4 linked regions of the Medicago truncatula genome follow. Each later gene encodes a partner of the first gene's protein in a complex. Links are inferred from orthologs where the notes say so. Each region holds a gene or a part of one and is shown on either strand. Other genes may lie near its edges.

Region 1 (8,328 bases):
TAGAACTGAACTGGTCAAGGGGCATTACTTGATGCCATGCCATCACAGCTAAGCAGACCCAAGGTCTTTATTTACCAAGACTTTTTTGCCTAGGGTGTTCCATTTTCCTTGGAGCACTTAATGCCAATGTTAGTAAAATATTTTCCCAGTTGCAAATTAAGACAAGTGGTGGAGAGTTTGATTTTGGTTGGAACAATTCTCGACTAGACTGATTTGTTTTTCGACTTAACTCCAGATATTAAGTCAATAAAGTATTATATTTAGAGACGGGTGTAATAACTGAAAAGTAACAATAATTTTGTAAACACCAACAATAATAGATCTAGATCTAATCTAGTAACAAAGTGTAAAGGAAAACCACAAGCAAAGCAAGAACAAAAATAAAAAGAGTAGATAAACAAACACACCGATATTTGGTTACTCAGTTCAGATTTCAGAATGATCTACGTATGGAGAGAGATATCTCGGAATCACTGTCAATGTGTTTCTTACTAAAAGATACAAAGGTTACAAGAAATCTCTACAAACAAACTAATTTCTACTCATTTCCTAATCTCTTCCCTTTGTCAATAGACTCCAAGGTTTTTACTCACCCAAAGTGTTTATGATGTTTCTCAACCCATGAATCTCCACTAAGGACACGCAACTGTTAGCCTCTATGTTTTCTAAAAGTTCTCTATTTTGGTTTGACAAGATTACACAATAACGATGAAAGAATGCTTAAATAGCAGTTATGAACCCGAGCGAATCACCTTGTGATCTTCAAAAAGCTCTGCCATTTCTAGCGATTATGGGAAATTACCTTGCGATTTTGGGTCCTGAGCAAATCGCCTTGCGATCCGAGGCGATTTTTCCAGGATCAAACCAATTCCAAACTTCCAAAATAATTCCTCTGATGAAATTTGAAGGCACACGCAACAAATGTGGAAAAAAAATGTTGAAAGAATCCTAACTCATACATTTTTTTAGACAAGGGGAGTAGCATTCTTAAGTTTATGTTTGCTTTAGAATAGAAATAGGGAATATACACATGTTGATCAACATAAAAAAGAAAAGCAAGAAAAGTAACAAATTTACAAGGGAATCCTTCATATTCATTATACTTTAAGAATTACCATGCACATATATAGACAAAAACAAGAAAAAAATTATCTCTTCATTATGTCATCCTTCTTGATAGTAAAATCCCAAAGGTCTCCATATTTTTCATTGAAATCCCATATGCTCATGGAATTATAGTCATTTATCAACTTGTCTCTAGCTCCTCTTTCCATGTTGTATATTTGAGGTTCAAAGTGATGAGGTTGATCAGGTTTATCCATCTCAATAATGCAAAATACAATTGTAAATATCCCTGCTCCAATGAACAAGTACTCTCCCTGAAACAAACATTGTACTTAGGATTAACATCAATTACTTCTTCCTCAATGTATCAATTGATTTCTAGATTGAGTATTTCTTCATTGATGTCAATTAACATTTAGAATTACCGGAACATCGAAGAATACCCCAGCAGCAATGGCTGGTGGGAAGAGCCATGATATAAGCCCTGCATGAGAATCAAACAATAATCGAAATCAATTATTACAGTCAAAATTTTGGTCAAGGGCCAGCTCAAGTGGCAAACTTTGATGTTGCGGAGATTTGTGGTCAAATGCAGTCGATGCTGCTTCAAACGCGGCTGCAGTGCAGCTGTGGAGACAGAAATACTTTGATATCGCTGATGTTGTGATCAAAGTCGCAAACATTTCTGTTTATAAAACTCCGCAATTGCAACACAACCACGGCTTATTTATTCATTAGTCATTCTGATCAACTGTTTGAGCTAATTGAACTACAATTTGGAGGTTTTACGGGCTCAATCACTCGTCGAGTTTATAAAACATTCTTGTAAACCAAGTTAGAAAATGATAGATATTGGTGCAAGGAAAACAACATACCTTGAAATCCAGTGGGGGGTCCTACTGCTATTACATCATCCATAATGGCACCCCAAACTGTTCCTGAAATTAATATCCATCATGAACTTTGTTAGAAAAACATATACACGCTTGATCAGGAGCATTTTTTTTTTTTTTTTTTTCATCATAGATTTCCTCCACAATAGCTAATGCCTTTCTTTTGGTAGGGATTCAAAATTTTGTTCGCCACATTGTGAAAGTCTAAATTCAACCCAATGAGGTGTGACATAAGACATATCGAGTTCAAATCCTTCGACAATAAAATCAACACCGTCTCTTTAATTAATAACAATTTCCTTATTCTCCAGGTTTTCAAAATAAAAAGTATCCAATTACCATGAGTGCCACATACTTCAATTTCCATTAAAAATAGAACTGATTGAAAAATAAAAAGAAACTATAAAACTAAGAAAATAAGCAATGAAAAAACAAATACCTTCCTTTTCTTCACCTTCATTAAAAGTATGATGACCATCAAATATTCCATACTCAAATTCTTCCTATAAAATCCACACAAAAACAAACCAAACTCATCACAAAAACAAAACTATAGTATAAAAGTAATTAAACAAAATGAAGTATATATATGAAAAATACAGGTGGAATGCCATTAGTGCGAAATTGGTCAACAGGATCTTCATTAAGGTCAGGCTCAACAAGATTGAAACCAGCATTCAACAAGAATTTTGTTGAGTTATTATTACTCTTGGTGAATATGCCATGAAAGTTGAGTGGTGTTGGTGAAGAGAAGGATTTTGAAGTGAGTTTTGATGGAGTGATGATAGGAGGGACAAGTGAAAGTGAGGAACATAGCGCCATGTGTCAGACTTGGTTGGTTGGTTCTCTTTCATATGTTATCTCCACTTTTATCAACAGCAACTATTTTTTTGAGGAATCACCAACAAATTTTATCTACTTAGATTATTAGATATTTTGGAGCTTATGTTGATTAAATTACTACCACGTTAGATTTTTGTTAAATTACCCTTGATAATTTAACTCTTTGCAAAAAATAATTTGTCTTAAAATGATTGACATTTTCAATGTTGTTATAATTTTTTTTTTAATAATATACTAGTATTTGAGTGAAGTTGATATGTTAATTTGAACAAAACAAATGTTACAACGAAAAATCAAACAAGGCTGTGTTAAGATGACTAACAAAACATGAAAATGAGATGTCGAAATTACAAAACATATATTCTACTTTTCATTCCAATTCTATTAATTACATAACGGTTAAGAAATACTATAGATTATTTTGATAAATGAAAGCAATAAAATTCCATAAAGAAAGTTACATTTGCGATCCTTTCACTTAATTATCGATAATTATTAGGTCCTTTATTTTTTTTAAACTTATTTTAGTCCATTAGCATATAATTTTTAAGCTTTCATGTATAAATATATTAAAATAATAAAAATTTCGATCGTTATTTCGATCTAAGTTAAAGGACCAACAAAACAATTTTGCCAAATCAATATAACTCCTTTCCAATCAAATCCTAAAAGTCAACTACTCCAAATACAAAGTGCAAATCTTCTTTCTTCTCTTCCAAATTGAGTCACATAATCCACACTTGTTCTTCTTACCAACATTACCAAATAAGCTACTACATTAGCATACAAAATATAACATTGTTTCAAGGTTGAGAAATGCAGTCTGGTGGAGAAGATGCAACCACTGAGAAAGAAAACTATGCTTCTCTCTCCAATTTACTTCCACACTTTACTACTATTCCCAACATTCACAAAGCATGGCTTTTCAACTCACACACTACCAACAGTAAGCAATTCATAACCATCATTTATTTCACAGTTAGTTACTATACTAGTGTGTGTTAACTTCGCATCACGTTGGATTTGTCAGAATCACTTTGATTATTACTATATGAATTCTATTAGTTAGAGTTAGTTAGGATGTTAGTTAGTGTTTTTTGATAGTTAGTTACTCAATAAGCTCTATATATATAAAGCACTTATATACATTTTATACATCTTTTATCGATATGATTCCTTATGAATTTTACTCTCATTCGAGCTATCAAAGCTCTTTTATTACATTTTCTCATAATCTTCACTTATATTGCTAATTAAGGATGTTTTATTTCTGCTCCATAGCACAAGGAATGTTTTCTATCACCCAACCAGATGTTTTAACAAACAAGAACAAGACTTTGATTCTGTCCTGTAACTTTGTTAAACAAAAAAGTGATGGTTCTGTTGTTGAGTTTCTGTGGGCTCCGTTTCCAATTGAGATGCGTGGTGATGTGTCTATGATTGTTCCGTCGCCTTCTGGTTCTAAGCTTTTGGTGATTCGGAATAGTGACAGTGAAGGAGGGGGTTCTTGTTGCTTTGAGATTTGGAGTTCTTCTTGCTTGGAAAAGGAGTTTAGTATTCCTCAATCAATGCATGGATCGGTATACAATGATGGATGGTAAGTTTGATGACTTATGAGATTGAGATGTATTTATTATTATTAATTATTCATGTATGTGAGTTTGCAATGTTGAATTCAATGTTAAAGAGTTGCAATGGAACCAAAGCCTTTTGGCTTAATCGGTTGTAACCATGGTTTTAACACTCGCATAACAAAGTTCTACTAAAAAAATGCACAATAAAGATTTGTTTGTTTATTTTACCTTGGTTTAGGTTTGAAGGTGTCTCTTGGAACTTGGATGAAACATTGATAGCATATGTAGCAGAAGCACCCTCTCCTACAAAGCCAGTATTTAATAATACGGGCTACAAGAAAGGTGGTTGTGCAGAGAATGATTTTGGTATCTGGAAAGGTCAAGGAGAGTGGGAGGAGGATTGGGGAGAAACATATGCTGCAAAGAGACAACCTACACTTTTTGTTATCAACATCAACAGGTTTTTCATCATTCATATTCATGTCAGATATTATTTAGGATCAATACTCAATAGTTGTCAAGTAGCGGCAATAGAGGCACTGTAGCGCTGTCGCACAACATAACTTTATCTAATTGCTATTGTGCGATGATACATTGTTTAGTACAAAGTGCTCTCAAATAGTGGCTCTATCGCAGTGTAGAATAGCCAAATTTGAACAAACTGCTATTTTCCGAATTTCACAATTCACAACAGAGTAATCTTACTTTAACTAGTATTTTCGCAGTGGAGAGGTGCAAGCTGTCAAAGGAATTGACAAATCTTTGAGCGCTGGCCAAGTTGTGTGGGCTCCATTTACCGAAGGCTCAGAACAATATCTTGTTTTTGTCGGGTGGTCATCTGGGACAAGAAAGCTTGGTATGAAGTACTGTTCTAACAGGCCTTGTGCATTGTATGCGGTTAGAGCACCGCATCACGAGTCACAATCTGAGGAACCAGAACATCAGTGAGTCACTTTAGTAAGAAATTCTTAACTCCCAATTTTTTCATATCTTTTAGAAAGAACAAACTTGTTGCTAAGTTTGGTTAATTCTGAAAAGAATGATGAAACTAATATTTTACATATAGCTCATCAACTGAAGAATTGCATGCACTGAACCTAACTCCAACAATAAGCAGTGCTCTTTTTCCACGATTCAGGTGGAGTCAGCTACTTGTGTTTAATTTTAATATCTACTAGTATATGCGTGGTGTCCCTAAACCGCTAACAATTATTCATGAATTTTCTACCAGTCCAAATGGAAAATTCCTTGTATTTTTATCTGCAAAAAGTGCTGTGAACTCTGGCGTGCACAATGCTACAAATTCACTTCATAGGATTGATTGGCCAACTGATGGAAAACTGTACCAATCTGCCAATATTTATGACATCGTAAGCTCTTCTTGTGGCCATCTTAATTTGGATGTATTTGGTTTGTTTGCAGGTTGCATTTTTTTTTAATTTAGACTTTAGAAGTCTAGAATAAACTCCTAAAGTAGTCCTCTAAAAATTATGGTGTCCTGACAATATAACATTAGTCTTCCAAAGAATTTTCACCAAATAAGTCTCTCAACGATCTAAAATGTCACACATTTATCCTTATGGAGGGGCTAAAGTGGTTCTACGAAATGATATGTTTGGTAAATGCTTTGAATATTTGAAATTGAGGGTCTGATTTGGTGACATGCTAATCATTGGAAAACCCATTGGAAATTTTGTTGCCAAGCAATAACAATCTTTAAAGCACCTTAGCTTAAATATATTTTACTTAAAATGTGTAATCTTTGCAGAAGTCATAAGGTGATGTTTTTGACAGTTATTAACTCTGGCTTTTTCAATCAATTCTGAAGATTCCTGTTGTAATGTGTGCTGAAGATGGTTGTTTTCCTGGGCTTTATTGTACAACTGTCCATAATAATCCTTGGCTTTCTGACAACTGCACAATGATCTTATCATCCATCTGGCACAGCTGCGAAGTTCTACTTTCTGTGAATGTGTTGAGGTAACTATATAACAATAGGAATGTTTTTATCCATCTATTAATGGTTTATGTATTCATGGTTATCAGCTCGTGATTCATATCGTGAATCAGCAGAACTATTTCCCAAATCATGACTCAAATATTATTATAAATCACAAGAACTTTCTTGAATTGAATATTATTATGAATCATAAGGCACATTACTAATTTAAGACTCAAGTCTTAAATCAAACCACAAAAGAAAAGTGGCCGAGTATAAAAAGTTGATGAAAAAAAGTGGGACTTTACTAAATTCAGGAAATGATTCATTAAAATGAAATGGGATACATTGAGTTCCATTTTGTATCGATTCGAGATATGACTTGCATGTATCATAAGATACTGGAAACTGTATATATTCTTTCTGATAATTTTTTTGTCATTATAGTGGGAAAATATTACGTATCAGCCCAGCAGACTCAAATTTCTCGTGGAATCTTCTTACGCTGGATGAGGACAATATTCTTGCCAGTAAGAACAAATTCTCAGTTTTTCACTACTTTGGTCTTCTAAAGTGGAGAAGTGTGTTTTATCCCATTTCCTTGTCAACTGTTTTGCAGTTTCCAGCAATCCAGTCAATGTTCCTCAAATTATGTATGGAATGGCCATTGAGAAGACAAAGGGAAATTCTATATGGAGTTGGTCAAAGATATCCAGTCCCATACTCAAATGCTCTGACAAGGTTTGTATTATGTATTTCTTTAGGTATATTAGTGGAAACAGATGTTTCAAAAGTATATTATTCTATATGTTTAGATGTGAATCACTGTACTTTGGTTGCAGGTTAGATCTTTGCTGTCCTCTATCCAGTGCAGTATACTGAAGATCCCGGTCACAGATGGCTCTAGTAATACAACAAAAGGTCTTTTAGTTGCTTTGGTTTCTTGGTCATGGATACGTAACATTAAGTTGAATGACTTAATGAGATTTGAAACATGTTTTAATTTTTGTGTGTGTGCGTGTGTGTTTATTCTCACAAAGTAGTTGAGAAAATATCTTATTCCATCTTATGGAACTCACTCTTTATCTTTTGTTGTTTCTATATCAATGAATTTTCATGTTGGAGATCTTGGAGCCTGTTAGGTTTGAGGAAATGTTTTTTGATTGCATATCTTGTTTTTTTAAAAACAAAAATTTCATATTATTTTCACTCTGTTCCTGTTTCTAAGGATTTGGTTAAGAAGCAACATAAACTATAGAATTCATATAAGAATCTCATGAGTTGTTTGTTATGTTACAATTGAGAGCATTGGACACGTTAAATTGATTAAAAAATCTTTTCATACAGTGCAAATATTTATTTGGTAACCACATACTTCTATAACAAATCCAACACATTATATAGTGATAGCTATGCGTAAATCTTAATCGAGTTTTTGGGATCACTTAACCGACTGTCTAATATGTGTTTATCCTAAGTTTTATTTCAGGTGCTGCTAAACCTTTTGAAGCTATATTTGTCTCATCCAAAACCAAGAACAAGGATGTATTTGATCCATTAATTGTGATCCTTCATGGAGGGCCACAAGACGTCTCTTCGTCACACTTCTCAAATTCTTGGGCGTTTCTATCTTCAGTTGGATACAGTTTGCTAATTGTAAATTACAGGTAATACTTGTTCCTGAAATGCAGTTAGAGATTTGGTCGGAACATGCATATTACAACATCAGAATCACTCAATAAAAGCATGCCTAGAAAAGAAACGGAAAACGAAGAACACCGCTCCTTGTATAATTATCTCTTTTAAGGATTCTTACAAGTTTACAACCTTATTATTTCTCAGAGGTTCATTAGGATTTGGTGAGGAAGCATTACAATCTCTTCCAGGGAAAGTTGGATCACAGGTGTTTATTGTTTTCTACATCTGAATAGAGTTTGGTTATACTATCTGAGCAATCATATACTTTATAAGCTAATTCCATAACTACCGTGGACTTTCTAGCTGAATATTTATT
Region 2 (7,001 bases), on another chromosome or scaffold:
AAACTAAATTAGTGTCCTCTCTTTGCCCTTTCACAAGGCACCCTGTATCAACTATTGATATGCTGGGCTTTTACATATATCAAAACCTGACTATGTAATAGCAAACCTAACCATCACTGTTAATCAGTAAAACAAAATCAAACCTGTTGGATTTAAGAAAACATTTGCTGTTTCCGCTAATATATTTGCAAAGGTGTCATATTTAGTTCTTGTCTTGTTTTCAGATATTTATATAGGCACATTGAAAACAACTTTTTACGGTAGGTCCTGGTTAAAAAGTAAATGTGAAATGTATTTATTGAAATGTACAGCTATTAAATGACACACCGATCAATAAATAATTTCCATTTTTTCATTCTTAAACCAATGACCTTAAGTCCCCATTAACAAGACCCCTCTTAAACTATTAGTGAAAACATTAAAAAAGAAAGTGAGAAACTAATGCCACTTCTTACACTTTGAGATGCAAAGGAAAAATAAAGCACACTTTTTCAGCACAATAGATTGTAGAAAATCAAGCAACAAAAATCAAATCTCTAGAATGATGATCGGATACTACTTGTAGTCAGTTCGGACTCAGGACTGGCCATGGCAATACAAACTGTGGAAACTGGAAATTATGACAGAAAGGAGTGTTTGTTTGCTTGCAAAATAAATAAGGCATGTGGAAAGGTTGGAGAATGCCTCAAAGCTGGCTTGAGTAGCTTAATTGTAGGTTGTGGTGTTAAGGGATTGAAATCACATATCCTCTTTGTATGTCAGTCCCTCTAATTGAAACAGGACATATCATACATCACTAAAGTATTTCTTTTCATATAGTATTATGCTCCCTCTTAATTAGTTTTCTAGGGGTGTTACTTTGTAATTGGAGAGACATTGAAGGAAATATACAAAAGGAATAGGTGATAATCTGACTCCCAGAAAGAAAATCACATAAAAAAAGAACCTTTATATCCTATTTTTTTCATATCAACCTACTACAATTTAGACAAGCTATACAAATTGAACCCACAGATAGCAAGAAAAGAGTATCAACATAAATATAAATTTGAGGATTTGATTGATATACAGCGTCGGTGTAAAGATGTTTCAAACTGTTAATCAACTATAACCGTCAAATCATTAAAAACATTTGACTTTAATCATCACTAATATTAAAGTGACACACATGATTGGTTGTGATTCGGTCCTCGAACTTTTTAGACTAATAGTGTATCATAAATAAACTCAATTCGTTCCTCCTCCCTTTCTAACTTCAACATACCACTAAATTTGACAAGGCACCTCCTTTGAATTTAGAGTTTATAAAATATCATAACAAAAACTTTAGCCTATATTTTCGTTCTCATGGAAAAGAAATCCAATGAACTTCCCTTGGAATATACTACTAACAACAATGAATCAATTAGCATTTAAAAAAAGGAACCTGATGATCTGGGTTTTGAAAAACAAAACTTTTAGGCTCCTTCACATATACAGTTCCTGAAGTTGGAGTGAATAGACCAGCCAAAATCTTCAAGAGTGTTGATTTTCCACAGCCATTGGGTCCAAGAAGCATCCAAAATTGTCCAGAAGGAATGCGAATTGAACAATCTCTAAGAACGTGCACATCCTTAGTTTGCCTTGCAGTGAACGAGAAATTCAGATTACGACCTTCAATTGCAATACCATCCACGCTTTTGCCCCTGAAAAAACCGTCAAATACACAAACTGGTTGAGCACAAAGTGTTTGAGAAAATGCCGAAATGAAAAATAAACTGAAAGTTAGTTATAAACCTTGTAGTTTTGGTGGGAAGTGAAGAATAGATAGGAGCAACAAGATGATGAGGGGTAAAACTGAGAGAAGAGAGATTCATAGCATTTCCTTCTTCTTCTTTCTCCTCCTTTATCTATTCCAGCGAAAGTTAAACAAAATAAAACGATAAAGTAAAAAGAAAATAGCTTTTGTGTCTGTTTGGTTTTTCAGTAGCAAAAACTTTTTGGCTTAATTGCACTTTTCATCCTATAGTTTGCCAATTGTGCAATTTTGCACCTCATAGTTTTAAACGAGCAATTTTTCCCCCTATAGTTTTCTCCCTTTCTGATTTTATGGTCCTCGTGACATTTAATGCTGGTTTTTTTATCAATTAATGTGTGCCACATGTGTAATTCCATTTTTAAAAAAATAAAAAATGATATTTTTCAGATTTTGAGAGAATGAGCACGTGATTTTTCAGATTTTAAGAAGAAATATCACGTGCCTCCTTCTCTCAAAATCCGAAAAATATAATTTTTTTATTTTTTAAAAAATGGAATTACACACGTGACACACATTAATTGATAAAAAACAGACATATCAGCACTAAATGTCATGGGAACCATAAAATCAGAAAGGGGAAAAACTATAGGGGGCAAAATCGCTCGTTTAAAACTATAAGATGCAAATTTGCACAATTGAAAAACTATAGGGAGGAAAAGTGCAATTAAGCCAAACTTTTTTGATTGAATATATTTTGTATAATTTGATAATAGAAAGTTTAAGGAAAATGACTGTACCAAAAAAAAAGTTTTAAGGAAAATGATTTATATTTACTTAATTTTATTTTAAGTCAATTGAGTTCTTTTAAATATTTGGTTCGGAGTTTCGATCATGAATAATATGAAAAATATATATATATATATATATATATATGTTAAGAGAGGTCAATTCTAATGAATAGGTGAATTCATCACCAAAATTGTAATATCAACCAAAATAGTTGTAATATTTGTGAATTAACAAATAAATCCATGAGATTTATTCAAAAAAAAAAATCCATGAGATTATAAAGTGCTGGTGAAAATAGTTTTTTTTTTTTACAAATGAAAATAATTGTTATGTTAACTTTTTATTAATAGAGGCTAGAACGTAACACTTTAATTGAATATATGACCCCCTTTTAATATATAGCTCACAACAATGTTGCTAGAGCTTCCCTTAAAAAAAAAACAATGTTGCTAGAGTGTTTTTGTCAAAAAAAAAAAATGTTAAAAGAGTGTTATTTGCATATAAAATTTAAGTCTCTTGCAGACTAATTTATCGATAATTAGTTCATTCGTAATTATAATTACTAACCAATTTATCTTTAAAATTACTAAGTTTTATAGACAAATTAGTTCACAGTGAACTAACATGGATGTGAGATGAAAGTGAAATTTGACATATGTAGTTATCATCTCACATTATTGTCTCTAATGTCATAAATTAATGAATTAACCATTTTGAATATTGTAAAAATAAAAACCATTTGCCTATTTTTTTTATAAAAATAAATTGAAAATTGTTTTTTTGACAATGAATATTTCCTATCGACATAAGTAAATGACGTTTTTTTACCTCCAATGATCGCTAACTACCGTTCGAAGAACCACCGGCAGTTAACCGCCGCTGGTGCCAATTCTTCTCTCTATTATGTTATCTTCCCTCCCATCTCTGTTCTTCATTTTCCTTATTAATCCACCAAGGATTTTGTTTTTGTTTTTCCTTTTGTTGTTTTTTTAGCTTAATTTTCATACCGTTGAATTGAATTGGCTTCATCTGTGAGCTAAATTTCTCACTCTTGTTTTTTATGAAATGGGTTTATGAGAAGTTTTATTTTTTTGCCACCCTTTTGATGGATCTTCATAAATTCAATAACTTTATTTTATTTTTTTGCAATATGAAAAAATGGGGATTTATTAGTAGCAGATTAGATCTTTTGGGTATGATGGTTCTCCGTAATTGATATGTGAGATCTGATCACAATCTGCAAATAATCATGTTACGATTTTTGTATTATTAGTTGATAGAATTTGAAAATGAAGAACATAAAAGCAAGTATATCCAAACACATTGAATATGAAAGCTGGAAAATGAAGAACAGAGATGGTAGGGAAGATAACAGAATAGAGAGAACAGAAAAGCAATTTTTCAGCGGTAGTTAACTGCTGCCGGTTCCTGAACGGTAGTTAACTACCGCTGGGGGCATTTAAGTATTTTACTTATGTCATTGTGAAATTTTCAATGTCAGAAAAGCAATTTTCAAACAAATTTAGGAGAGTTGAGCTCTAAGGACTCACTAGAGTCAAGACAGATCTCAAGATTCAATTAACACTTATAAGTCATTCGTGAAAAAGGTCATTGAGATTTGAACCTACATCCACAAATCAACTTTTCATCGGTTGAGTAAATTTTCATTGTTTTTTTTGGTTACAAGTAAATTTTCATTGTTAAGTTAACAATTGTTTGGAAGATAAATTTGTCTATTATTTACCAAATAAAATAAGATGTCCAACGTTAAAATTTCTAGCACCAATTTTGGAAATTAAGTTATTTTAAACTTTAGAAGCTGATGTGAAATTCCTCTAAAGATCAAAACTTTTGGTACACTTGAATCCCTCTTTTTTATGGCGTGACATTATTTGTTCTTATTCACACTACTATAGTGACGTGCCCAACAAAAGAGTCATCTTCTTATCTCTAGTTGTATGTATGGCATTGTGTCTCTCTTAATGGCTTTCTGTGTGTCTCTCTGCTGCTACACCTCCTTCCCTTCTCTTTCCCATTTCTCAAAAACTTTGACAAGGAAACATGTCCGTTCTTCTTTCCCTTTGATTTGTGCAGTTCAATCCGGCGAACCAGGTGGCAGCTCACAGTCACAGCCTAAGAGTTCTGATGCTTCCTCATCCTCCTCTACTACTGCTCCTAAGACTCTTCCTAAGAAACCTGTTTATTCCAGTGAGTCAAGCAACCAAATAACTATTTATTTGGATTTTATATGTATGCTGAATGCTGCTGCTGTCTGTGTGATTATTTATTCATTTTTGTTAATTGTTGGACAGTGAAGAAAGGTCAGATTGTGAGGGTGGACAAGGAGAAATATCTCAATAGCATTAATGTAAGAAGACTATCATTGATTTAGTTTCAATTATAGTTATTTCAACTGTGAGGAGGAGGACTTAAATAACATGTACTAAGGTTAATTTTTCAGTATCTTTCTGTTGGGCACCCACCCTATTACAAAGGATTAGACTACATTTATGAAGACCGTGGTGAGGTAAACAAACAAACACCAAAAGATTATGAAAACAAAATAGTTTATATGATTAGTGTTTATCTAACTAGAAATGTCAAACTGTATTTGTAGGTCTTGGATATGCGTATATTTGAAACAGGAGAGCATGCACTTGTAAGTAACTTGTCAATAGTGTGTGTGTTTTAGGTGTGAACCAAAGGCAGCTGACAGCGTGCCAATTATTTTTCATACCAACAGCATGATATTTGAAGTTTAAGTTTTAGTATTCTAACACAAAAACTGTACCATTGCTCAATTCTCAGGTTGCATGGGTAGGAGTCCCCACTGCTCCAGCTTGGCTTCCTACATACATGCTTATCAAGGTAATGCTTAACTTGTTCCAATGAAATCTGATGTAAATTGTTTAACTTTATCTACATATACGCGACCTATTTTCATTTTAGTTGCTTTGAAAGCACCCAAGTCCTAACTCTTACTTTTTTGTTGCAGTCAGAGAAGCTCAATTATGAGAGGCTATAACACTCCTTTTCTTCTAGTATTGTAAGATGCGAGATTCAAGAAGATTGATTCAAAATACCATCAGAGACGCCCACCATACCCCATTTTAGTTGAGCTGCGTGATCAATTCGAATGACTACTGTCAATTATTTGGAAAATTTAGTTGTGCTACCCAGATGATGTTTTCGGCCATGACTATCATTGTATTTATGCTTCTATATTTTAGTTTTTAATAAATGACATAGTTAAAGATATGATGCACATCAAGGGCAATCATCAGAAAAATAACGAGATGTGAAAATCAACTGCAAATACACTTCATTTGCACCTGTAGGTCAAATAAAGCACTAAAACAAAATGTTTTTTTATATATTGTTTATTCAACAATGCAACTTATTTTCCATGTTAGGGAGTAGAATGAATCTCTTCACTAAAATTGCATAATTGTAGAACTTGAGGTATCAAATATTTAACCAAGATTGAAGGCAGAAAAAAATGCCACAAAAGCTTATAACTTTTGCTCTCCAGTCATTGGCCTCAAACTTGCATTTATATGTGATACTTTTGGATGGAAAAAAAAAAAAGAAAAAAGATTTCAATTGCCATCATAGAACATCATATATATGAACTCTCTCTCAATCTAGATCCTCTGTGATTAAGCATCTTTTATTAAAAGAAAAAATATCAACTATAATTGGAACAAATTACCAACATTTTACTGTGCTGTGCAAATCGGCGACATCACAGCTAAGGCACTGTCGATGCATCAGGATGCTTCCATACACATCCAACAACCTGTTTTATTGTTCCATAAGCTGAATTGTCAAATGTGCCTAGTTAATGATGTTGAAGAATAGTGAATTTTCTTTTTACTAATGTGATTGATCAAACGACTTTGAATTGGAAGAAATCGAAAAGTGAGCTTCACTAATTCTAGAACACTTTCCAAAGCAGATATCAAGTTATCAACCATGCCATGATCTAATAAATTTTAAAATCTAAGAAGGCTATGCCTTTCCAACTTTAGACTCTTTCCCCATATGTGGAATGGGCTTAAGCCAGGAGAATGCGTGAAGCTTTCGGTTCAAACTATATATTATCAGATATAGCTGGCCTGAATCAAAATTTGGAGAAGAATTACAGGTTCAAATTTTCATAAGAATTCATTCACATATACAAATATCAAAACAAAACAGAAAATTTAAGGCCATGGTAATAAAGAAGCACTACACAGTCCATTTATAGTGTCTCCATCAAAGCATGGTCTACAGATCTAGGTCATTACTAAAGCCTCATAATTGTAAGAGATAGGATGATAGGTTATACAGGAACCATACATTGTTACATGAATAACCATATACATAAAATAAAATGTACCTTAATTCGCATTCTTTACGATCTGATGCTATTTCAAGGTAAAAATTATTTAGGGGGTGGTGTCAATCCCAGACTAACTACCATCAATTCACA
Region 3 (8,802 bases), on another chromosome or scaffold:
GCCGGTGTAACCACCACACACTGCGGCGAAGTTTTCTTCTTCTCCGTTTCGGGCGCCGGCACCGGTTTCTTCACATTCTTCACAGGACGAGCTGCCTTGGAATCAGAATCTGCTCCAACAGTGACATTCATGGATCGAACTCTGGGTGGACCCGACATTGCAAAACCCTAGATTCTAGAATATTCTTCACGAAATCTCTGTTTAGAAGATCAATGCCGAATACCCAATTGAAAATTTCGAGTTTTCAGAGATGGAATTGAAGTAAAAGATGATAAAAAAAAAAAGATTTTGAATTGAAAATTTGAATTTCAAGTTTGAGCACAAAACCCTAGAAAGAAGAATAAAGGGTTTCTTTTTTGGGAAGCATGAAGATGAAAAAAATGAGGTAAGTTTGGTTGTTTGTGTGAAAAAAGGTAGAAGCTTTGCTTTGTGTTGGTGGAGTGTGGTGAGAAAGTTGCAGACTTGCAGGGAAAGAGTGAGAAAGTGAAAGGTAAAATATTTCTAAGGGTGTGTTTGTTTCAAGTTTACCAAATTTATTCTTAAGAATAACATTTCTTGGAATATAAAGATAGGAATTTTATTCCAAAGAATTTAGGAAAAATATGTTTGGTTAGCTTTATAATATTCCTAGGAACTATAAAAATAGGGATTATAATAGGTAAACTATTTATGAATTTATTCTCATTTCCATGGGAACTTTATTCCCACCCTTTTTCTTGTGAAATTTTTTCTATTCCCAGGAACATTTTATGCCCGGGAATAAAATTTAGTAAACTTGTAACAAACATAGGGATATATATTCCAATCATTTTATTCTCGGGAATCAACAATTATAACTTGAAACAAACACACCCTAAAGGTTTAATACATGTTATGTTTTGATCCCTTAACTTATTTTTGGATTTTATTTTGGTCCCTTAACTATAAAGTATTTTAATTTGATCCCTTATGTCTTCTGTTGTTACCTCTTTTGATCATCTCCGTTAGTTTGTTTTCAAAAATAGTTAACCCTTGTCCACATGTCATTTAAGATTGGTGATCAACAACTAGATTTGAAAAGTACACAAGTATACAATAGGCTCACAACATATAATCATTTCTATTCTTATTGATTTTCCTAAAAATATAAATTTAAAATCACCATCAATCTTCATCTATTTTTGAAATAATTTGTATCCAGATTTTTAAAAATTAAAATATTTTTCAGAATTTTGTAGAAAAAAAAAATTAAAAATCTGACCTTTTTTTTAAATTTCGTAAAAAAATTATTTTTTTTCATATTTTATAAAAATCTGAATTTTTTATATATTTTTCAAAATTAATATTTTTTCCAGAATTTTGTAGAAAAAATTAAAAAAAAACATTTTTTTTCGGACAAAAAAAATCTGACCTTTTTTTGAAATTTCGTAAAAAATTAATTTTTTTTCAAATTTTAAATTTTGGAATATTTTTCTTTTCTAATTTTAAAATATGAATTTTTTATATATTTTAAAAATTAAAATATTTTCCAGAATTTTGTAGAAAAAAAAATCTGACCATTTTTAAAAATTTCGTAAAAAATAAATTTTTTCAAATTTTTTAATTTTGAAAATGATTTTATAAAAAATATGGAATATTTTTTTCTTCGTATTTTATAAAAAAATATGAATTTTTTTATATATTTTGGCTTCAAAAAAATCAGGTGTTAATCATTCACCGTAGGCTACAATACACCTACATGATCCAACGATTTCTATTTGAAAAATAGATCAAATAATTAAAATGTAACAGATAGGACCAAAAGACATAAGGGACTAAATTGAGACACTTTATAGTTAGGGGACCAAAATGAAATCCGAAAATAAATTAAGGGACCAAAGCATGTATTAAGCCGAAAGTAAAATATCTCTTTTTAGTTTAAGGAAGAGACTAATAAATGTGTTAAAATTTAATAAAGGAAATAATCATAAATTTTTCTTAGTTTAATACCACGATAAATCTTTTCAAGGAAAGTTTATCATATATTTTATTATACTTAACTTAATGATTAATTTATGCAACTATGCATAGAGGATATTCGTTCACATACACCCAAAAAAGGGAAGGAATAACAAAATGGATCATGTCTGAGACTATATTTTTTACAATCTTGATTATTATGAGACGGATTCTATTAACTTGGAGTTCCATCGGAAAGACAATAAGTAAAATATGCCCATAAACTGTTTCATCTCATAATCAAATTAAGATTCTTTCAAATAATTTGTCATTTGATAAAATTCAATAACCATTCGTCCTTAATCACTTGATTTCCTTCACTATTATTTATAGGTTTAATAAGCCTTTACCCCTTGTAATATAGGTCACTTTTGGTTTTGTCTCATGTAAAAAAAAATATAGATTCGATCATTGTAAAAAAAAATTGTTTTGGAAAACCCCACTAGGCCAGCTGACTGTACATTTTTGCTGATGTGACATGTTCCGTCATTTTTTCGGATGACGTGGCATACTAACTGTATAATTTTTTTTATTTTTTATGGGGTACACGTGACATTAATGATTTTTTTTTAAATAAAAAAATTCTTAATTTTTTTTAAAAAATGAAATAAATTCTGGAAAAATGAAAAAATTTAAAAAAAATGATTAAAAAAATTTAAAAATGATAATAATTCTGGAAAAATTTAAAAAATCTGGTCAAATCTGGAAAAAATTAATATATACCGAAATTTTCAAAAAAATTATAAAAAAAGTCTGAATTAAATTAAAATTATAAAAAAATTGAAAATATATTATTATATAATTATTTTGATTTTGAAAATTAATTTCTAGAATTTTATTTTATTCGAAAATATAATCTAGACGAATAACATGATACAATGGATATTGATTGACACCGGTATATAAGTCATGTTATACCGTTAATAACAAGCCCTTAATTCTATTCTTCATGATCTAATGTTATGTTTTTTTAATTATGAAAATACTTTTAAATATTTAGATTTTCTGTATAAAATAAAAATAAAAAAAACCAAACTTTTAATTTTGAAAGAAAAATATGAACTTTCATTTTTAATTCTTTTCTTATTATATTCATAAATTTTGAAATAGTTTAAGTTCCTAAATTTTTCATTTTTTTATAAAATAAAACTTCTTACTATCGAAAAAAAAAAAAAATTTCATTTTCCAAAATTTTTTAATTTTTTCGCTATTGAAAATAATATGGAAATATGAATTTTTTGAAATATATTAATTTTTTTAATTTTTCCAGATTTTATTTTATTAAATTTTCTAGATTTTTGTTTTTATTTTACCAGATTTTTTTAATTTTTCCAGATTTTTTTTAACTAAATTTTCTTGATTTTTCATTTTACCAATTTTTTATTATATTAATATTTCCATAATTATTTTGTTTTTTATTATTATTTTTATTTTTCCAAAATTTATTTTATTTTTTATAATATTTTTTCGTTTTTTAATTTTTAAAAAAAAATATAAATGGCATGTGTGCCCATAAAAAAATAATTATACTGTCAGTGTGCCACGTCATTCGAAAAAGGTGACATAATATGCCATATCAGCAATAGTGCACAGTCAGCTGCTCTAAGGAGGTATTCTAAACAAAAAAAAATTACAAGGACCGAATCCAAATTTTTTCTTTTACAGGAGACAAAATCAAAAGTGATCTATATTACAGGGAGGGATAAAGGTCTATTAATCCTTATTTATATATCCTCTCTTCTAATTTTCTATCTCTATCTTTTTTATAATGAAAAACGAGAGTTAGGTGAGACATGCAGAGAAGTAGTGAAAGAGATGATTCAAATTTAAAGAAATAACTTGCTTCCATTTTGTGTGTTGTATAACGAGTATAAGTTAAAAATCTCGTATAATCTAATATGGATTCCTATTTTTCCCAAAATTTGTTTATATATTTTATAATTATAATTATTTGAGACTAATTATTTTTGGTGAACCAAACATCATTTTAAAATATTTTACTTTGTTTGTATGTTATGTTATTATTGATAATTTTAAACTCAAGGTGTGGTAGTTGGATGATAATTTGGCAGTTACAAGTACCATTTATAGTAAAGAATTTCATGTGGCGTGCAGCATGCAAATGCATCTCCACCCAAACTAGACGTGAAAGGGATTTTTTTTTTTTAATTTTTAATAAATATGAGAAAGTGATATGTGTTGAAACTCATTTTCCTTTTTTTTTTTGTTACAACTTATTGTCTAAAGTAACAATAGTCTCATCCATAAGTTCTAACTCAACTGACAAAATGTCGAAATCGTTAGACATGATATCATAATCGGGGTTCGAACCACGGTACCTCCACTTATGTGTGTGAGTTTATAATAACTTTGTCATTTCGTCTATCTTAAAAAACAAAAAACAATAGTTTCAAAACCTCAAATTTATATTTGTTTTATTTATTCGCTTTTTATTTATTGTCTATTTACGAGAGATTATAGACATAAATAATCTTTTATTTGTGTTTATTTTTTAATTATGACGTCCACTTGAATTTTTGAAATATAATATACATATGTCGTTTAATGAAATTCATAACACAAACTAGGAATTAATACTTGTGTGCATGATGAATTTGGCATATTTATAAGAGCCAAGATATTGTGGATGCAATCGGCTGTAAAGGTAGTTGTTGCATAGTGTTTAGTTTATTGAAAGCAATGAAGTGGACTTAAAATTAGGAAAGAGGATTCAACAAGTTATATTTTCTATGCATGTCAAAGTGGTGGTTTGGGGGATTGTTTCAATTTCGTAGTACATGATATCATTGAGTTAGGTTCAATGTGACATTGAGCAGTGATATTTGAACAACCATTTTATATAATTTTTTGTGATAATTTTTTTTTCTTTTCTTTTCATTGGTTAAAAATAATGGAGAGAGAAAAAGGAAGAGAATGAATAAGAGGATAATATGGATATGAGAGGAAAAATTGTCACAAAATAGTTGTACAAATATCATTTCTCTTCTATTATTATATCGTACCAAGGACTATTTTACCTTTTATTTGTAACAACTCTCATAAGATTCTTTTTCACGAACTCATGTAAAGTTTTCTATATGAAAGGTTGATAATTGGTAACAGGAAGGAAGCTGCACATAATACAAAAAAGATTAAATGGGACCCACTTATCCAACACATTTCCACACATTCTAGTTCTAGTCTCTAACATGTCTAACTTTGTAGCAAGAACAACGCAAAAAAAGAACCAAATTTGAAAAATCTCAATGGCTGCAACTGCAACATATTATTTACATTCTAAAATTTCAAAACCATTTTCCCATTTCACTACAAACACATTTTCCATTCCTTCAACTTATCCAACCAATGTTTCATTGTTAACATCATTAGACCATCCATCACATTGTTACAATTCAACTAGAAGACTAAATCTTCGCGTAAATGCCAAAAAGAACAATCCATGGCTAGACCCTTTTGACGATGGAGAAGATCCAAATATCGAATATGGTTCGTTGTTTTCAGACGGTAAACAAGACGAGGATCCAAGGCCGCCCGATAATCCAAAAAATCCTTATGGATTCTTGAAGTTTCCAGCTGGTTATATGGTTGAGATAGCTCCTTTAGGATTGAAAGTTAGAGGTGATGTTAGAAGGTGTTGTTGTGTGGTATCTGGTGGTGTTTATGAGAATCTGTTGTTTTTTCCAATGATTCAGTTGATTAAGGATAGGTACCCTGGTGTTCAGGTTGATGTTGTGGGTTCTGAGAGAGGGAAACAGTGTTATGAGTTGAATAAGAATGTTAGATGGGCTAATGTTTTTGATCCGGACGATGAGTTTCCTGAGCCTGCTGAGTATACCGATTTTGTCGGTGTTCTAAAGGTTGGTTGGCAAGCATATTTTTTAAATAGTTTGTGTAAAGTTTCGATATTTTTCTTTAGAAATATGAGACTGAAAATCGATCATACCTTGTAAAGCACCGATACGGACGCGTGTCCGACATCAGGACACACCTAATCCGAAGACTGTCCGTGCTTCATAGCTCAAAACTCTTAACAGATTTTTCCTGCTACTTTCTAAGGTACATATATTAGAAATTTTATATAGGAACTGATTTATTGTTATGTTATGCTTACAGAGTAGGTACTATGACATGGTCTTGAGCACAAAATTGGCCGGAGTTGGCCATGCAGCATATTTATTCATGACAACTGCGCGAGATAGAGTTAGTTATGTTTATCCGAATGTGAATGGTGCAGGAGCAGGATTGTTTCTATCTGAAACATTCACACCAGATAGTACAAATCTCTCAGAGGGAGGATATCATATGTGAGTTTGTGCATGTTTGAAATCACGGTGTAAACAGTTTTTACACTGCCAATCAGTCTTAAGTGTTAGATCATGTATTGACAGTGTAAAACTTTTTACCTGATAGTATTTAGATTTACATTTGGTAGATTTTCACGAAAATTTTCTTTAACTGAGGACCATTTCCGATGAGTTTGACGAACTAGGTATCATCAAATGGAAGACTGGCTAGGAAGACCGTTTCGAAGCGTTCCACGGCAGGTTGTGCCACCACTTAAAATATCACTTTCAAGGAAGTTGAAGGAAGTTGTGGAGGAGAAATACACAAAAGCAGGTGTAAAGAAAGGAAGATATATTGTGATTCATGGGATACAATCAGACTCAAAAGCCACAATGCAGTCTAGGGGTGATCCTGATAGCTTGCTACCCCTTGAAGTGTGGGCTGAAATTGCTGATGCTGTAAGGTATGAAATGTTGCCCTCTAATATAGAATCTCTCTTAGCTTATTTTTATAAGTTCTCCATAATAGCTTATGAAAACAGCTTAGAACTTATTTTCAGCTTATTTTTATACATAAACTCTTGTATGATAAACATTTATGCTATAAACGTTTCATTAAGTTGTTTATCAAAATAGAGTTCAAGTAAAAAAGGTATCCTACATAACTGTATTCGTCAAATAAGTGTTTCTCAAGCAATTTCTCCTTATATTCTGTCATTTTCTGGTATGTATGTTTTGGACTATATTTTAACAATTAACATATGAATACAGGGAATTTACACCACTTTTTGTCATTCCACATGAGAAAGAAAGGGAAAATGTTGAGGAAATAGTTGGAGAAGATTCCTCTATAATCTTCATCACCACCCCTGGACAGGTACTCAAGTATCTCATAGTTATTTTGCATGCAACAAACTTAGAGAGAAAAAAATAAAATAGTAAAAAAATGTCAAAACATTGAACTGTGATGTGATGAAAATGAATGAATAGATCAATAAAAAATATGCTGTTTTAATATTGAAATAACAAAAATAAGGGGAAAGACAACAATATGGGACATAGGAATAGGCTTTTGAACATAACTAGTGTCCGTGTCTGTGTCTCGTTGATTTTTTTTCTTTGATCGACCAAAAATGGAAAACCACGGTGGCATAGTCTTCATGCAATCCGAATTCTGTGTGGATCTAATTTATTGTAGTTAAAATGTGAGTCTTCAAATCTTCATTTTAACAGTTTCAATTCCCTAACTGTGGTTGTATGGTTTAGTTGGCTGCTCTTATTAACGACTCGGCTGGAGTTATAGCTACCAATACAGCTGCAATTCAGCTCGCAAATGCGCGCGAAAAACCTAGGTAATTTTACCATTCACATGAATTATAATGTTTCCCTAAACAGCACATTAATTAAGCTTTGCAAGACAATCACATTGATCCCATAAAACTGTTGCTCAATTTATGCAGTGTTGCACTATTTTCCTCTAAAGAGAAGGGAAACAAGTTTGTTCCGCGGGCAGAAGAGAAGAAGTGCATTGTGATATCATCCAAGACGGGGAAGTTGATCAATATAGATGTTGAGGCTGTAACAAATGCAATTCAAACTTTCAATGTTTCTCTAGCTTTTGCATAGCCTAAGAGAGGGAAAACAGCGAGGGTTCTGAACTTCAAGTTAAGTCGTTGTGCTAACTATGGTTAAAACTTATGGTAAAGAAGGAATGTATATCAACTAATTCATGGCTTCCTTTGGGGCGATAAAAAAACAGGTACATGAATTAAAACGAAAGTCAAAACACGTAAAAATAAAAGTCGAGAAAGCTTTGCGATGCACAAGCATGAATCTTGTGACAGAAAAAGAAAAGTGGATCCTTTTCAGCAAAACAACAAACAAAAAATGTGAATCCTTATCACATGCACAAGATTCCATTTATTAAAGCTATCACCTAAAGCTGTTTACACTTTGACAAGCTTGTGACATACATATGTCGAGAGCGGTCTCGAGATCTCTTGGTCAATTGGACTAATCCAACGGCCGGCCTCTGAATGGAAAGACTGCAAAGAATCCAAAATCTGTGTCGAGATACAGAAATCAAATAAGTTTACACTTTGCAGTTCATTTGAAATAGTTTTGTGGAATCGGAACATATAAATAGAGATGACATTCCAATGCACTGGCAAGAAACAGAAACATACAAAGAGTTCGGCACCTTAGATGCTACTGATTACTCCTACTTATATCTAATCTACTGAAACAAAATCAGTTCAGTGGCTTTGCACGAGTCGATGGATCTTCCTTTGATTCGACACGAATCATAAACACGTATCCTAAAACCCACAGGAGAATGTACTGAAAAGGAACCCATGGAAGGCATGCAATAAGACTCATGATGCTGCCAATATACTGAGGATCACTGATGACCCCGAAAGGGAATTCGGTTACCCATGGAATAGTTTTTCCGAAGCGTACACCGTAGTATGTGCCGGCTTCACCAAGAAGCTGATAAACCCTGTCATTTGACAATATCATA
Region 4 (8,083 bases), on another chromosome or scaffold:
AAAACGATTTCAAATTTGCAATACTCCATATATCATTATTAATTTTTTAAGTGTCCGACTTTTGATTTTGAATTTTCGCTATAATAGTATTTTTTTCTTCTCTTTTTTTGTTTTTTTTTTAATCCATGACTATTTACACTTCTTCTAAAGATATTAACAAGTTTCTTTTCATGCTTCACATAATTAAGTAACCTTTCTATTCTATTTTGATTTAGTTTATTTCATTGATATTTTGTACTTGAGGTTATTGTTTGAAGTCTAATGTTTTCATATGACATTGAACATTTATTTTGCTTTCAACTGTTACTAAAATAGTCAGGATAATTTGACATGTTTTTCAGATGAAAAGTATTGTAGGCAAGTAAGAAGTCTCACCGTGCTAGAATGAAATATTTCCAACTGTGTAGTTAGATAAATATTATGTGATTGATACTCTTAGGTGTGTGCTCTGTAAAACATTATTTATCTACTGTCAGTTCTAAAGTTTGAAAGAATAAATTATTTTATCTTATAAATATGTTTCTAAGATCTATTGTTATGTTTCCTTAAAAAAAACGATCTATTGTTATGTTCTGATATCATTTTCAAAAGCAATGTACAACTTTTTCAAGTCTTTCACGGTGTTTGTTGATAATTCATTGCCTGGACTGAAACATTTTCCATAAATAGCCGCATATTGTAAAGCTAGATATTTTTTAATAAGACTAAAGTTTTAGTGTGGTTAATTGCATAAATAATAATTATTAGTACTAATAAATAAAGAGAAATTTAGGGTGCACAATGGCTCAAATTGTTGAATAACTTAGGTTAAGTAATTGCAACACTCCAAAAAAAAAAAGTAATTGTAACACAACACTCACCTTCAATCTGTTAACATTGTAGGCACTTCTATAGAAGATACTCACATGATGGGGATCCCTTAGGTTAGTTGTATTTAAATTCAACTATGAAGATAATGGAAAGAAAATAAGTTTGAGGTCCGACCATTGTGTTCCATTTAACTTTTTTTTTTTCCAAAACTATATAAGCTCTATTAGTTAACTTTTTCTTTTGAAAGGATTAGTTTAACTTAATTATTATGACAAAAGGAATGATGATTTAATTTTTCCAGAGCATCTTTCATATAAGTAAGTAAGTCACGTTTATTCTTTTTTTGATAGGTCACTTATGCTTATTCTCTTTTCCTATTTTTAATTCTTCAATATTTTTTCCCTATTGCAGACAAAGAAGAAAGTGCCATTGTTGCTACAAAACTCAGGGTGGAGCTAATCTCAAATGAAGCTTAATGTGTATTTTTTCTTTTGTGACATTGTGCATACAAATTGTAAATAACAGTGGCGTGGTAAAGTTTTATCTCAGAACATTTTGCACCACCCGGTTTAGGTGAAAAGTTTTATCTCAGAACTCTACTAAATTATGTCAAGGGTCCTACATCTTTCGAAGACATAAAAACGGTGGATAACGTCAAATACTTTAGTTTCAAAGACACTTGCTTTGCGATGGGACTGTTGGACGATGACAGAGAATTCATTGACGCCATAATAGAGGCAAGTTTGTGGGGTACGGGCACCTACTTGTGAAGACTTTTTGCAGCATTGACGGTTTCTGATCAGCTGTACAGACCAGAGGTTGTTTGGAATAGCACTTCGCCTAATCTAATTGATGACAATTTGCACAAACAAAGACGTGTGCTTGGTGCGCCTGGTAAGTCTGATTGTTAAATCTGTATAGTTTTTTTTAAGGTTAAATTTACTTATTTGTCTGGATAGCTAATCTGAATACATCACTTATTTGTTAATGGCCGGTTAATATAGAGAGCGAAACTTATGCATCAGCATTGTACTACATGCTTAATTCATATTGCAAACCTTTGTGTAGGAAGATTAGATACTAGCCAGCCTGAATTACACTATATTTCATGACTAATATACTCAAAGAAATTTGTAGTTTGTTGGTGTATAGTGGAAAATAACGTTAACTATACATGACTCAATATTAAGAGTATATAATTATATTAGTTTACTTAAGGCAGGGAACTCAAATTTTGTCAATTATATTAGCTTAATTCATATTGTCAATTGAACATGGCATTGTCAAGAGTTACTTCAAGAGAAGGTTTGAAGATTTTAATATCTAATGACGATGGTGAAGACGATTGTGTAACATCTAATGTGGTTTATAGAGAGGTTTTTCGTAATCTTTCTTAATTTATGTCATTTGTATGATTGAACATATTTATAGTCTTTTTATTTGTATGAATGATGTAATACACTATCTTTATTACCGTACTAATGACTTATTGCTATGAAGGCTTATACAAATTTCTATATTATTGTCGGTTTCTACAATCTATATGACCCGTGCGCCGCACGGATCGGCGTTCTAGTAGATGTTAATGGCTATTTTTTCTATACCAAAGGGTCTCAACAATTCCAACAATGGGACCCGGGTGGATGTTCTCTTGTTCGAGGGCAAGGTTTATGTGACTTTAGCAGTTACTTGAAAGTCACTAGTACTACTACTCTTCAACATTATTATCTTGGCTTCAACCTTGAGGACAAGGTTGATTTTAAAGGGGATGGTAATGTAATGAGTCTTAGAGTTAGAAGGGGCATTATGGGAAATAGGAATATGGACCCTTATAAATATGAGAAAAGCCAAGGAAATAAGTATGAAATGATTGATGTAACTTCTTCTCCTTCTCTCTAATTCTCTAGTCCCTCACTTCTATTTTTCTTATTCTTATTACATTCCTTTGTTACCTATTACTCTCTATGAGAGATTCCAATTACTAAGTTGTAATGCTTAATTGAGTGAATCAATGAAATTTCATTTACATTTTTATTCCAATTAAGTAGAATCATTACAGAGATAGCGATAGAGAGATACTTACATTTCCTTTATCAAAGTCTCCTCCTTGAATCATGAAGTCCTTGATGACGCGATGGAAGGTGGAGGACTTGTAGCCAAAGCCCTTCTCACCGGTGGAAAGGGCACGGAAGTTCTCAACAGTTTGTGGGACATCATCACCAAAGAGTCCTATCACAATCCTTCCAACCAGCTTCCCAACTGGATTTCCAATACTAACATCAAAGAATACTTTGTGAGTCACTTTTGACTGTACTATTACTTTCTCCTCTGAACTACTACCACTTTCCACTGCCCTCACTTTCACTTGTCGTCGTACTGCTACTGCTAGTTTCACACCCCCACCTCGGGACCTAACCACCCCGACGGAAATACTTCTTCTAGGGTTAGGGTTCAGAGCAACAACATTTGACTGACCACCCAACCAAGAAAATCAATCATTTAATAAAAATGAATTCAACACCAATTAAATTTAAATTCAAGTAATAAAAAAAATATATATTACCAGTGAGAAAAGTGGCGGTGTTGTAGTAACATTGAATGCAGCAGCAGCAGCCATCGTTTGGTTAAACACCGAAGAAGAAGGAAGGAAGGATATCGCGCATGCGTTAAAATTGGGGAGGATGCGACCAATCTATATCTATTCAACTCAAACCCATGGATGGATTCACCACCATTTTTTGTGGGGGCCACCACATTATAATTAAAACTAAAATAGAATTGGTTTAGATTTCATTTGCTAGAGATTGCATTTAATTTAATTAAAATTTAGACTAAGATGTATCAAATTTGATTTGATTTAATTATTTTATTAGGTTAATAAGGGGGAAAAAATAAACTACAACAAAATTCGATATTTCATTTATACAGTGGCTTAAATATGCAAACCGTCTCTGTAATTTTGCGCATTTTTGCAATTCGTCCATGTATCTTTTTTTGTTTCAAAACTCTCCTTGTAAGCTTTTTTCGTTTTGCAAATGATTCTTCCCGTTAACTCCCGTTACAAAAACGGCGAGGTGGCAGGCGGAGACATACGTGGCTTAGTGTGACTTGACAAAAGGAGGGTTACGTGTCAAAAGAGTTGGTGAGTCATCCTGTCTTTTGATTTCCCCCCTATTTATTGAAAAAAAATGCTCTCATTTTCCATTTCGTCCTTGTGAAATAGGGTTTCAGAGAAGTTAGAGAGTCATGGTGTAAGAACAGAGACGAAGGTGAGTTGACGGTGAATCACGGCAACGAAGTGTAATCAACAGTTAGCGAAGGTTTTTGAAGGTGATCGACGGTAGAAGAAGCGGTTTTTGGCTTGCGATTGAGGTAGAACATTCTAACCTATCCTCTTATTTTTTTCTTCTTCTTATCTTTTGTTTGTTGTTTGAATCAAAAAATCTTTGAATGCTAGTTTATAATGATGTAAAAGAGTAGAATGGATGTCGTTATATGTTGTTTGATGTTGTTTTATACTTGTTTTTGTGTTGTTGTTGCATGTGGTTTTGGTAGAGACGAAGATGAAGGTTTATTAACAAAGTTTATGTTTCTAAAATTTGACAGGGATGAGTGTGTCAATTGTATTTCACCATGGGGGTGAATTTGTTACGGACTATATTTTGTATTACACTGGGGGTCAAGAACACGTAGTAGTAATGGGATTGATAGGGATAGGTGGTGTTACTTCGAAGCGACTGGTATACTAAAAGAGTTAGGTTATGATGATCACCTTAAGTATCATTTATGGTGGTATGTTATTGAAGATGATAAATACAAAAGGATTGTTGATGATAATGACACTGATATTGTTGGTGATTATGTTATTGAGAACAAACGTGTGGCTCATTTATATGTTGAACATTCAGTTATAGGGATGGTAGGTTCACATGTGGGGTAGAGTTCTATGGATGTGGGGCAGAGTTCTATGGACTTGGACATGTCAGGGGGAGTTGGAGGTCAAGAAGGTCATGTAGTTGAATAAGGCACAATGAATGAAGCTGATGGTGTATGTGATGATGAAGAAATGAGTGGTGATGGTTCTGATGACTATATGGGAAGTAGTGAAGATGAAGCTGCTGGAGTAAGATTGGATGATAGTGAAGAGGAAAAAGCTATGGGCATGAATGATGGGTTTTTAGTTGAAGATGATGAGACTCCTCCTATAGTTGGTAATGCAGTGGTAGATAAATTTGAAGTAGATAAAATAGTCACAAGGAAGGGGGGTTTGAATTGTGACCCTTTAAAATTAAACCTGTCACTTAAAAGTTATTCTCAAGTTGAAAACTTGGAATGGTTAAGTTAACAGACAGACTTCAGAACGTTCTGAAGTGTTAGTATAAAAACAATTTAAATAATTAAATGTGTTTGTGTGTGTTGTGTTTACTGTAAGTAAATAGTAAAGAGAAGAGAAGAAGAACACACAGAAATTTATAGTGGTTCCCCCAATGTGGGTTAGTCCACTCCTCACAGTTTTGTGAGATTTTCCATTATGATGCTTGAGATAACTTCTCAAATTCTGCACCTTACAACCTTGTTCACCTGAACAATTACAACAATTGTATTCTCTTAGCCTCAGCAGACTTACACCTTTCTTGCTAAGTTACCCACTTAGACTTTACACCTTTCTGCTCAAACTAACACTTTAGTACCCCTAAAGCTAGATGAGACTTTGTTTACAATTTGTATGGAGTTTGAATGATATAGATCAAACAAGAGATGAATAGAGGGAGATATTTATCTTTAAAAAGATAAGAGAAATATTGATTTACACTTTTGAAGACTTCTTGGAATCTTTGTGATGATCAATGTTTTTGCTAAAGCTTCAAACACTCTTATGTTGTTTTCTTGTATGCTTTGCAAATGTGTGTGTTATGCTGAGGTCTTGATCTCTATTTATAGAGTTCTTGAGCCTTTGTAGCCGTTGGAGAGTGACCAATGGTCTTATGCCACGTGTCCTGGGACCCACCAACTTTCACTTGAAATTCTGGGCAAACTGAAATACTTCAGAATGTTGTTGTGTTCTTGAGAATACTTCAGAATGTTGTTGTGTTCTTGAAAATACTTCAGAATGTTGTTGTGTTCTTGAGAATACTTCAGAATGTTGTTGTGTTCTTCATGAATTTCTGGGTTGTACTTAAAGATTTGCTTTACACGACTTCAGAATGTTGTTAGATCAGATCTTCTTTGAAATATGTCTAGGAGCGCGTGCAGGATCTCATAAAGTGGTGCTGTCACTTTGTAACGCCCTCTTTAATTATTTGATTATTTTTATAGAGTTTAGAGTTTATTTAGATGATTTATGTGATTTAAATGATTATATGATGTGTTGTGATTTATTAAGTGGCTTATTTTATTATTTAATAGAATAAGATTTGAAAATAAAATAAATATTGAGATGAAGGGTTGTTTTGAGAATTTAGAGAGTTTTGTGGGAAAATGAGGAAATAAGATAAAATAGATGGGAAAAGATAAATAGGAGAAAATAGGTTTAGAAAAGTTTTCACGTACAACCAGTTTTGGAGAAAAGGGAGAACAAGAGGAGAGAAGAACCAAGAGAGAGCTGCTGATCGATTTTCTTAAGGTAAGAGTGAGACTAACATTCAATCTTCTTAAGCCTTTAATTCTGATGATTAGATTTAACATGTTGTAGGGTTAGTTTTTGAAAATTGGAAATTAGGGTTAAGAGTGATAATTGAGGATTAGATGATGGAAACTTGTAGAATTGATGTAGAAAGTGTGTACAGACCTCAAATAATTCATAGTGTGATGTTTAGAATCAGTTTTAAGCTTAGAACCATGTGAATTGATGCATTTTCGTGAAAATCTGCATTCTGCCCGAGCTGACATTCATCGCTCGCCCTGGCGAGGGATGATCCTCGCCACACGAGTGATGAACTTCATCGCTCGCCTCGCGAGTGACCCTTAGTTACTCGCCATAGCGAGCAGATCACTCGCCATAGCGAGTTGACCAGTGAGGAAACCTGATTTTGTGATTCAACTCCTTTAGTCGAGCTTTAGATGATTTTGAGTGCCTGAACATGTATAATAATAATTAGGCAAGTCTTTAGATTGAAATTGAACACGGGGAAGTTAAAAATGAGATTTTTGGGTGAAAAATGTCAAGTTCCCGAGAGCACCCAGTTTCAGTTCGCTAAGGCGAGTAGCTTACTCGCCAAGGCGAGTAGCCATTTTCCTGAACTCGCCATAGCGAGTAGAGTGGCTCGCCTCGCGAGCTGCAGAGAGACATAAAACCTTGTATAGGTTTTTGCGATCTTTGTCGCACGAGATGTTATGAGTTGATCCTTGGGGTAGGAATGAAGGTTGATTATAATATTACTGATGTTCAGTGACTCTGATATAATATGATTTGATGTTGTTAGTAATGTGATGTAGTTGTATATGCATTATGTGAATTATATAAGATGTTTAAGTTGATGTTGATTATTATTTGGTATTGTTATATCTTGAGATGTTATGTGCTGCCTATGTTGTTGTTGTATATTAATTAAGCTGCATGATGATGAGATAAAATCGCAAGTGCACGGTCTTACCGAAGTAGTATGAAAAGAGTATCGTTCCGACAGGGAGTAGTTTAATTCAATTAACCTTTGATGATGATTAGAGGAGAAACGAGTTGTAAGTTGGGGGTTTCAAACGATTGAAAGATAATAATATAAAAGGAGCCTTGGGATCATTGGTTCATCTAAATAACAAGTCCTTCACAAACCAAACTATAAGCTTATAACTTTATGTTAGACCTAATTTCTCAAGACAGTTTCTCTTTTGTTCCTCTAGCAACCAAGCCTATTTCGCTGACTTGATTACTCTTAGATTTTGGTTCCTCTAACAACCAAGCCTATTTCGCTGACTTGATCGTTATTAGTTCCCTTGAAGATCGAAACTATGTGTCTCAAAGATTGCAAAGACTATTTCGCTGCCTTTGCAATCCTTGTCTAAATTCACTTGTTCGAATATCAAAGCTCCACTTTCGTTTTATGAATTGATATTTGAGATAATGGATAAACGATTATCAAACCCTTTCGTTTGCACAGTTTGATAATGGTTGATCCATGTTAAAACGGTGAATTTAGATAAGAAATTAGGGTTACATAAGATTAAGGCTTAGAGCTTGGCTTGATCAGGATTATGTCATTTAGACTTATCCAACAATCCCAAGACAAAGAGAAGTCTACTCACTCATGTTCATCGTAGACATGGGGAAGAAGAGAGA

Evidence for each region.
Region 2: photosynthetic NDH subunit of subcomplex B 5, chloroplastic (region 1) and NAD(P)H-quinone oxidoreductase subunit O, chloroplastic share a complex: the UniProt entries of both Arabidopsis thaliana proteins name them as parts of the chloroplast NDH complex. The link is inferred for Medicago truncatula from reciprocal best matches to the Arabidopsis thaliana genes PnsB5 and NdhO.
Region 3: photosynthetic NDH subunit of subcomplex B 5, chloroplastic (region 1) and photosynthetic NDH subunit of subcomplex B 1, chloroplastic share a complex: the UniProt entries of both Arabidopsis thaliana proteins name them as parts of the chloroplast NDH complex. The link is inferred for Medicago truncatula from reciprocal best matches to the Arabidopsis thaliana genes PnsB5 and PnsB1.
Region 4: photosynthetic NDH subunit of subcomplex B 5, chloroplastic (region 1) and photosynthetic NDH subunit of lumenal location 5, chloroplastic share a complex: the UniProt entries of both Arabidopsis thaliana proteins name them as parts of the chloroplast NDH complex. The link is inferred for Medicago truncatula from reciprocal best matches to the Arabidopsis thaliana genes PnsB5 and Pnsl5.

What each region holds. Positions count from the first base shown.
Region 1 is NC_053046.1:18,566,381-18,574,708, reverse strand, and holds photosynthetic NDH subunit of subcomplex B 5, chloroplastic, read right to left. Parts: upstream 2,839-8,328; 5' UTR 2,781-2,838; coding exon 2,559-2,780; intron 2,462-2,558; coding exon 2,398-2,461; intron 2,004-2,397; coding exon 1,941-2,003; intron 1,550-1,940; coding exon 1,491-1,549; intron 1,380-1,490; coding exon 1,149-1,379; 3' UTR 925-1,148; downstream 1-924. Other genes in the region: acylamino-acid-releasing enzyme, read left to right, coding at 3,618-3,747, 4,083-4,398, 4,614-4,835, 5,101-5,319, 5,442-5,513, 5,607-5,745, 6,204-6,355, 6,762-6,844 and 4 more. UniProt on the Arabidopsis thaliana protein: NDH shuttles electrons from NAD(P)H:plastoquinone, via FMN and iron-sulfur (Fe-S) centers, to quinones in the photosynthetic chain and possibly in a chloroplast respiratory chain.
Region 2 is NC_053044.1:47,465,522-47,472,522, reverse strand, and holds NAD(P)H-quinone oxidoreductase subunit O, chloroplastic, read left to right. Parts: upstream 1-4,409; 5' UTR 4,410-4,485; coding exon 4,486-4,735; intron 4,736-4,839; coding exon 4,840-4,895; intron 4,896-4,988; coding exon 4,989-5,054; intron 5,055-5,144; coding exon 5,145-5,186; intron 5,187-5,335; coding exon 5,336-5,395; intron 5,396-5,522; coding exon 5,523-5,552; 3' UTR 5,553-5,901; downstream 5,902-7,001. UniProt on the Arabidopsis thaliana protein: NDH shuttles electrons from NAD(P)H:plastoquinone, via FMN and iron-sulfur (Fe-S) centers, to quinones in the photosynthetic chain and possibly in a chloroplast respiratory chain.
Region 3 is NC_053045.1:956,099-964,900, forward strand, and holds photosynthetic NDH subunit of subcomplex B 1, chloroplastic, read left to right. Parts: upstream 1-5,150; 5' UTR 5,151-5,243; coding exon 5,244-5,855; intron 5,856-6,111; coding exon 6,112-6,302; intron 6,303-6,487; coding exon 6,488-6,745; intron 6,746-7,052; coding exon 7,053-7,158; intron 7,159-7,547; coding exon 7,548-7,633; intron 7,634-7,741; coding exon 7,742-7,907; 3' UTR 7,908-8,060; downstream 8,061-8,802. Other genes in the region: probable GMP synthase [glutamine-hydrolyzing], read right to left, coding at 1-158; phosphatidyl-N-methylethanolamine N-methyltransferase, read right to left, coding at 8,532-8,781. UniProt on the Arabidopsis thaliana protein: NDH shuttles electrons from NAD(P)H:plastoquinone, via FMN and iron-sulfur (Fe-S) centers, to quinones in the photosynthetic chain and possibly in a chloroplast respiratory chain.
Region 4 is NC_053042.1:56,646,174-56,654,256, forward strand, and holds the start of photosynthetic NDH subunit of lumenal location 5, chloroplastic, read right to left. Parts: upstream 3,539-8,083; 5' UTR 3,428-3,538; coding exon 3,374-3,427; intron 3,281-3,373; coding exon 2,894-3,280; intron 1-2,893. UniProt on the Arabidopsis thaliana protein: NDH shuttles electrons from NAD(P)H:plastoquinone, via FMN and iron-sulfur (Fe-S) centers, to quinones in the photosynthetic chain and possibly in a chloroplast respiratory chain.